2 linked regions of the Ovis aries genome follow. The protein of the gene in region 2 purifies or fractionates together with the protein of the main gene of each other region. This does not show direct contact. Links are inferred from orthologs where the notes say so. Each region holds a gene or a part of one and is shown on either strand. Other genes may lie near its edges.

What was found.
Region 1: the proteins of ATXN2 (region 2) and LSM12 purify together in Homo sapiens (affinity purification with mass spectrometry; 4 studies listed by BioGRID and IntAct, with this or other methods). This does not show direct contact. The link is inferred for Ovis aries from reciprocal best matches to the Homo sapiens genes ATXN2 and LSM12.

Annotation. Positions count from the first base shown.
Region 1 is NC_056064.1:43,642,036-43,646,993, forward strand, and holds the start of LSM12 (protein LSM12), read right to left. Parts: upstream 3,420-4,958; 5' UTR 3,356-3,419; coding exon 3,232-3,355; intron 1,457-3,231; coding exon 1,323-1,456; intron 1-1,322. UniProt on the Homo sapiens protein: Nicotinic acid adenine dinucleotide phosphate (NAADP) binding protein. Confers NAADP sensitivity to the two pore channel complex (TPCs) by acting as TPC accessory protein necessary for NAADP-evoked Ca(2+) release.
Region 2 is NC_056070.1:55,207,910-55,211,710, forward strand, and holds part of ATXN2 (ataxin-2), read right to left. Parts: intron 2,720-3,801; coding exon 2,574-2,719; intron 2,057-2,573; coding exon 1,829-2,056; intron 1-1,828. UniProt on the Homo sapiens protein: Involved in EGFR trafficking, acting as negative regulator of endocytic EGFR internalization at the plasma membrane.

The DNA.
Region 1 (4,958 bases), on a different chromosome or scaffold from region 2:
AGGGAGCTCCAGATTTGAGGTAACTACACACTGCCAGCCTCAGTTATCCTGTGTTGTTTCAGCTGCCTGAGTGTTCCCTTGCTTTGCTGAATTGTAGCAAACACACTACATTCCCAAGTGGGGCAAAAGAATATACATTATTCTAATTTTTATAGAGGGAAAAATTTCATCACACTAATTCAACAGACTTAATGAAAGACAGCTGCTACAAAAACTGAAGGCCTAACTTATTCATTCAACAAATATTTATGAAGCACCTACTCTGTGCAAGGTTCTGTATATTCAGTGAGGAACAAAACAGGTATAGTTACCATTCCCACAAAACAAAGTTTGGTGAGATAGAAAAGTATACACAATTATAATCACAAAAAGGCTTTGAATAGGTGACAAGTCCCAATTTGCCCAGGATACATCAATCTAAACTTGTCTCAGTGTAAAACAAAAGCACTGCCCTCTTCTACTCTCAAAAATGTCCCATACTGGACTGGAAATGATACATCACCTTATCTCTGAAGGCTAGAGTACTGTAAGAGAAAATAATGGAGGCAACCACTTTAGCCTGGGTGATCAGAGAAGACTTCTTGAAAGAGGTGCCATTAAACAGTTCTGATGGATACGGTTCTAGTCATTCTGAGAAGGTGTTCCAAGTAGAGAGAACAGCAAAACTCAAACAGGGCTTGGGTACAATATTGATCAACATGAACTTCAGCTGATGGAAATGAAGAATCAGAAAAGTTATCTGAAAGTTCCCAGAGACCAATTTATATAGCCGAGATTAAAATATCCTAAGCCTCTAAATTTGTTAGACTTCAAAATTCAAGCATAAAGACAAAAATGAAGCTCTACGGCAGTAGTTTTCAAATTTTTGTAGGTCATGAATCCCTCTGAGAATCTGAAAAATACTCCAGATCTTCATCCAGGAAATACATGTATATTCTTGTGCGCACACATACACAATTTCAAGAGGTTCAGAAGGAAAGTCCATAGCCAACCCCACCAACACTGGAAGTTCACACATGGACTACAGGTTAAGGGTGAGGGGGGAGCTCTCTTTCACAAAGAACAAAAGCCAGCTCTCAACTCTATTTCTCTATCAGCAGGCATCAAGACATTTCTTAAAATCTTCGGAAGATATCAGGGAACAAAGAGATAAAAACTACAGTGAGATATATATATATTTATTTAAATATGTCAAAACAAGCCAATTGTAAATCACTGAAAAAAAAGAAAAACAAAAAAGGACAATATATGTACCATCAAGAGTCAATGAGACTCAAATTTCCCATCATTTTGGAGACCCAGAACTGCCCTCAAGTCCTTACCTTACTAACGTTGAGTGAAGCTAGGGGAGGAGGGGTTTCTGTTCGGTCATTAATTATTTCCACTTCTGAAACATACTGTAAGTTTATAAGCAAGATGTCTGCGTGGTTGGGCTTTCCACTGGAAGAGGGACATTCTGGTGAAAAAAAATAAAGTTAAGGAAAACAGGGGCAAGCAGAGCACTGACACATCCCAAAGGGGCATGGGAAACACAGTTCTCATAAGGCTTGTGTAAAAGGTGTGCCACCAGCAAGAGGGGGGAGTCCCACAAGAATCACAGCTCTTCTCAGCATATCTTTAGATCTCAAGCTTTTACAAAGCCAAACACAACTCAAAATTTGAAGCCTCAACAGGGTTTCCATCACCTTCTCTCTACTGGTTTTACGAAGAGGCTTAATGTCGTTTTAATGCTGTATGTATACTGTCTGTCTTGAACCTAACGAACCACACAGGAGAGCAAGTACCCTCTGTTCTTGGTATACTTCCTATATCCGAACAGCTCTTTTCACTTTTTCTGATTTGAAACTTTCCATTTTGCAGAGGCAAAAACTACAGCACTGGAAAGGAAGCTCATTCAAGGTGACCCAGCTAGTTAACCCACTCATCCATCCATTCATTCTCCAGCCATTTCTCAAAAGCATACTGCATGTCAATTGAAAGAGTAATTCCTCATTCCAAAACCCTTCCAACTAAACCACTAATGCAAAAGATCTTATATAGTCCAAGTACGAATTCTTGTGTTTAACAAAACCAAGAAAACGCAACTATTCGAGCTGTAATTAGTTTCAAAGGATATTTTCCTAAGCTAGAAATCTACAACTAGTGTTTAAATGAAGTGGTTAAGTTTAAATGAAGTTGGTTAAAATACTTGCCAGTCAAAGGCAGCAGACCCAGTAAGAAACTTCCTTTTGAAAGGTGCCAAAAAGATAACTCTTAAAAAAAAGAAAAAAATCCAAATAAGTCCACCTGTGGCTCAAATATAAGGAGGAGGTGGTATTACAACCAGGAAGTATTTTGTTTCCAAGATTGAGCTTCCTGGAGTAATTCAGAAATCATTTCCACACCAAAGAGGCCACCTTTTCCATTCTGTTTAACACTGCCACATTTAAAAGGCAAGGCTACTACTGTGGAGAAGTCAGGATTCCATGTGCTGGCCTGAGCAAAAGGTACCTTACTCTTTCACCTGTAACCCACACGTCCATACACAAGCCCCTGAGAAACGTGGTCCTCTCTCTGGACCAGGTTTCCAGGACAAACATCTCCAAAAGAGCAACTTCCAAATGACTGAGAAGCCTACAATTCAGCACCCCGTCCCCAATGGCACCACGCACACACAAGCACCAGCAAAACAAGCCCCTATACCCAGTTCTGCTACAAACTCTGTCCTGCAATTACTCTCCCCCAAACAAGCGAGGCCCATTTGGTCAAACACCACCGCCCTTCCGTGGACCACATCCTATCAGTAGACAACCCCTCCTGAACTCCATACCCATGTCCCACTCACTAGCAGTTCCTTACTCAACACACCCCCTCCCTACTTGATTCCACCCGCCCCTCTTCCATCCGGGCTCCAATCACCAGCCCTCTCCCACGACCACCCCTCTCCTGATCACTGGGTGCCCTCTCCTAGCGTTCCCCCCGAAAAGCCATCCGCGTGTCAAGTCCCCCTCCACCCACCCTCGTTCGCGGCCCAGCTCCCACAAGGGGAGGGCGACAAGGGTCCCCAAGGCGGACCAAGGGACCAGGGAGAGGGGGAGGGGAGCTCAGGGTCGTGCGCATGCGCTCCGGACGCCGCGGTAGCCGGTCGCCCCTAGGCCCGGAGAGGGCCCCAGCCACCGCCGTCGTCCCCCGCCCCCCCACCACCGCACATACACGCCGGCCCGGCCTCGGGCTCCACGCAGGGAAGGATACTTAAAGCCAGCATTTTGGACTGGTAGTCGAAGGCTACCACCTCGCCCTGCAGCCGCTGCTCCTGGCACGTCCGGCACGACACCTGGCTCCCAACGCTGAAGTACTCGCCCGGAGGAGCCGCCATCTTGGGAGAGCAGCCGCGGCCGGCGGCGGCGGCGGCAGCAGCGGGCGAAAGCCGGGCCCCCAGTGAGCGCCGCGCCGCGACGCACGGGGCGTGCTGACGTCATACGCCAGGGCGTGGCCTGGACTGGGTGGGGCGGGAGCCTAGGTGGAAGAGGAAAGGAGAGGAAATAAAAGAGGGATCTGAATAATTATGTTTGTGCAACTGCGCCCGCTTAGTAAAGTGCTTGCAAGGTCCATTTTAGAAGTTAAAGGTAAATGACCTATGTGGAATGAAAAGGGGAGACAGGAGAGAACTGCAGTCTCCGTTATGTACACACCTTGACACGAGTTTAATGAATGAACTCTTTTACATATGAGGAATCCGAGGTTCAGGAGACTAAACAAACTTGCCCAAAACGATTACACCTAATTACAAAGTGGTAGTGGAAAGGACACTGGCTACAGAATTAGCTAAACCAGAATCGGAATTCCACTGAGTTACATGACCTTGAGCAAACTACTAAGCCTGATTCTGTTTATTCCTTCCGTACTATCTATTGAGTATCCAACAACCCTTCGATGTAGGAATTGATATCCTCATTTTACAGATGAACAAACTAAGTCTTAGACAAAACTTTGCCAGGGTTGCACAACTAGCAAGGATTCAGTCTGTTATCCAAAAATGGTGCTATTAACTTTTATGCTGTATTAGGTAACACTTCACACAGAAGTTAGGAGGAGTGGAAGATAATGAAATAATGTGTACAAATGCATGACATGTAGTTACTACGTGGTAGTTTCTCCAGGATCACCCATTACCGTTGAAACTCAAGATGCTTCCCCATCACCCCTCTTGCCCTCTCCAGAGCCAGAAGGAGGAGCAGTGGTAGTGTCAAAGGAAGCCTTGGGGCAAGAGTTTTGCCCCCCGCCATTAACGACTATCTAATACACAAAACAGTTTTCTTAACATGTAAGTATGATGCAGGTGTATTTTCAACCCTAATATCAACAGTCGCCACCCCTAACCCAACTAACCCTCCACTATAGAAATTCTAGAGCCTCATGTAACAACAGGCAGAGAAGATGGCAAAGGACCAGTCCTGGCACTATTTAACATGAACAAATTTCAAAAGTGTTTTCATTCCTTGCAAGGGACATCAACTTCATATTACTACAATCATTGTAACAGAAATAAGTATATTTGGGCTTATTTCAGAGAAGTTTCATGTCTCCCCCATAACAAGTCATATGTAACTGCCACTCAACTTTTCATGTAACATTGTGATTATAGGTTCTCAGGCACAGAGCCAGGCACTGTTAGGAAAAGCTTTCCGGAAGAAGTGAAAAATCTGAGACCTGATGGACAAGCAGGGAGATTGGCCAGGTACCAGCAAGAGGGAACTGCAGATGCCAGGACCCATAAAAGGAAAGAGCTTGGTGATTCCGGGGAGCATAAAGTAGCTTAGAAATATATCATTAAACTGAGTGTGGGACTGGACTGATAAAGGTTATCTTAGCTTGAGCACAAGCAAACTTTCAAAAGACTTAGAAAATGTGAATTTTTTCCTTGGGGCAATTGAAAAACATTTAGCAAGGGAATGAAATATGAATCCAGATTCCCTTCC
Region 2 (3,801 bases):
AATAGGAGGCTACATGCAATGATGCTTCTAGACTCTGGCTACTATGTGGGGCCTGAATCATCCCTTTCAGATAAAGCAGATTATTACATTATAAGTGGGAACTGTTAACTCCTGTTCTATATTCTCTTTGCTCCTCCCCTGCTCATCGGCACACCTCAGTGAAGAATGAGTCAAGGCAGTGAGAAAGACTCTCAGGCCCCTTTGCGCTGCTGAAAGATCCGCCGATAAGGCAGCAGCAGGAGGAGTTGCAGTGAATGGCTCCAGTGAGGTGGGGAGGGGTATTCTGAAATCATCTGGGCCAACCCAGTGTCCCTGTATCAAGTGATAGTGAGTTCAACCACGTCTCCCTGTCAAGTTGGAAAGGGTGTAGCCCAAAGAGCTGGACCCCAGCTCTGCAAGGATTTGCAGAGCGAGGAGGACGAGTCCTCAATTCCTCCTGCAATACTATGCACTGTTCTGGACCATGATAAGCCTTGAAGGAAACCCTGTTTTGACTCTAACACGTTCAAGTAGACCCAGGGCACATCTGGACTTCCCTGCAGATGTTAACCTTTTTGTTCTTTCAGCACAAAAACACAAAAGTGAGGTTTTAGGAACCCCAACTTACATATAAATTCACATAACTACGTAGCTACCAGCCTCTGCTAGACATCTACCGGCCCCCAGGTCTCATGAAGCTCCTGATTCAGCCAAACCATGCTGTCCCACACTTGACCAAACCAGCTCCCCTCCCCACCATCAAAAGCAACTCATCCACTGCAGTGCGCCACACTACAGAACCTGCCCGTTTGCTGGGGAGGATGCCCAGACTTCCCAGAGCTGTGGAACTCTAGTTATAAGGTCGCCTTCTGAGAGTTAGTTCCAACTGAGCAGCATCTCCAGCCCCACCACGCCAGAGCCTCAGGGGTGCACTGCTTGACATGAAACGGAATTCAGTGAGGCAGTTTAAGCTGAGACCTGCCTAAGAGAGTTCTGTTATGAAAGCAGCAAAAAGAGACATCAAATACAGCCGATCCACCCTTAACAGCCCCAGGGAGGGCCTCAAAGGACAGTGTTAAAAGTCCAACTTCAGTGCAGCTCCTTCTCCTCATTAAGACAATTCAAATTGGCCCTGGATCGCACTGGACTTTAGTCAGCAGCAAACACACCTTTCAACCTTTAGAAACTTACGCTAGAGGTGAGCCCCAAGTGCTTCCAGATCTGCTCTTTAAGAAAAATAGGAACACCTGGGCGCTTCCAGCTTCAAATCACACAGCACCAATGTACAAGGCCAAGCCCTTTCAAGAAGTACAACGTATGGTCAAAGCAGATTTAGGAATTGCCAGGGAAACAAATGGAGAGATTTCTTAGGAACTCAGGTGACTTAACATTCAAGTGGACAGTCCCAGGGCAGTCATCTCAGAGTTGAGAATTTGTGAAATCCCATCTTCTTTGCCAGACCTGTGTGTGTGTGTAAGGGGTGTGGGGGGAATATGTGTACATATACGTGTATATATAGCAACGAGAAAGCTATATAAACAGAAACAGAGCAATGCAGACACAGTAAGGAAAGAACTAGGTTGCATTCCAGAGTCAAAGGTATTTTTAAGGCCTCAGCTGGGAAATGTCAAAAGACTGACCAATCAGCAACTTCACTGATTCCATTACAAAACCACACAAACATTCATTTAAGGCCAGATCACATGTATTTGAGTGGGAAAGAAGAGACAAGCAGATGGCATCACACACAGGGGTTCCTAGCTTGAAGAGCATCTGGCTCTTTGCTGCTTATCTGATAACTTTCATATCCTAGTTGGTCTTCACAAAAAGTTGGCTAAAGCAGGTTTACCTGAGGTACATGGGCCATGTGGGGTGGATTGGTGTAAGCCGGCTGAACATGAGAAGGATGAATGGTAAAGACGGTCTGCTGTGCTGCTGGGAAACTATTCTGTGGAGACTGTGTATTGGAGGCAGGTGTCATGGAAGGTGGGGTTGGCGCAAGCCCCGCGTGGTAAATGGCAGACTGCTGCTGTGGACTGGCCAGATGGAGAGCCTGGGCGGCCTGGTGCTGATGGTGCTGCAAAGTGACAGCAAAGAGTACAGATTAAGAGACATTCTTTTCTGGGATACAAGCCTGATTGTCAGACTGCAAGCCCTTAACCAAACAGTGGGAACCAAGAATACTGCTCCAGGGAACTGGAGCAAACAGCTCCAGATGCCAGAGCTCCTTAAGTGCCTTCTTAAAAAGCATGGCTAAAGAAACTAATAGGAAAACAAACAAACAAAATCGTATCACATAAACATTAGAAATGAGAGTTTTAAAAAGTTCCAAGCGAAATTCCTTACTTTATGTTAAATTTTTCTATATTGGTAAAGTTTTCAGAACTTACCCAACCACCTTATTCTCAGTATGTACCTTAAGGTGATTAAACCTGGGGGCACAGCCTGCAGAGCTATACGCTGGCTCCTAGGTGAGGCAGGGCTGCTAGGTGTTTTGGTCACGTGGTGCCTAGCATCTCGCACGGCATTGGGAGAAACACTCAGTAAGCAGAAGGATGCAGCAGTTCTGGTGAAGGCCCCCCCGAGTGTCCTACCTGAACAGGACTGGGTGCGGGATGGCTCCCACCATGTTGGCTTTGCTGCTGTCCGGTGGGCGTAGCTGAAGGCTGAGGATGTGGAGTATGTGGGTGCAGGGTAGCATTAGGGTGCGCATACTGCTGAGCAAGGGAGCCAGTGGAAACTAAAGTGAAATAAAAAGGAGTGTGTATAATTGACGTGTGTGGTGGTCTTCATTGCTCTTCTATGCCTCATCAACTTTCAGCTCATCAACAGCTTTCTTGATGCTCAATGCCTAACCCATCTCTATATTTGACTCCATTTAATCCATCCACTTCTTGGAAAAAAAAAAAAAAAGTCAAGTTACTGCTTACCAACCAGACTAGCATTTTATTCAAATAACATACATACTGTATCAAAATCTAATCAGTTTAAATTTACTTTTGTAACAGTCACTAGGTTTTCCTGAAAAAGCAACTTAAAAGCACAGACAGAAATAATTCAATCTCTCTCTATCTCACACACACACACACACACAGACACACACACAGCAGCTCAAGGCCATCATCTGGCTAACCTCACCATGCTACTGCCCTGGAGCTGGCGCAGTGTCCTATGGGCCCAGATGGTATCAAGGCTTCAGTAAGGGGCTGGATAAGGTGTGTGGCAAGGTCAGGGCTCTATCTTCAGGGCCAAATGACCACAATCTCTCTCAGCTGATTACAGAAGCCACTTTGCTCCTCACTTTGTTCCTTGGGCCTCCCCACTCAAGATCTCTCACCTTTGTTTTATAGTTTAGGGTTACCTAAACTATGTATTTAGGAAAACCAAACTCCCTTCTATGCATCACAGCCTTTAGAAAAAATTTTTACTAGTTAGGGTAACTTCAAAGAAAATATGATGGTTTAGTTTAAGTAAAAATGTGTTCATTAAAGGTAAGAATGCAAAGCCAATTCTTTGTGTCAGCACTGACCATACGTTGGCACAAAACAGGGAGATCAGATATTTGTTCATGTCATCCCAATACAGCAATCCGAGAATCAAAAGCACAAGATGGGTTCACTGCTTCCAGTGACTACTAATATAGCACCCTGATACAAATCTAACCATGATGTGGCTATGAGTTGAGGACAGTCTTCCCAAGACATACCTCTTAGAAGTCAATGTGTGACTTCCAGCCTTCTCTCAAATCAATCCTGAAATCCTCGAGAAGCTATGCCCATACACAGAAACAATTTCAAAATACTTCCTCACGTTCTTCATATG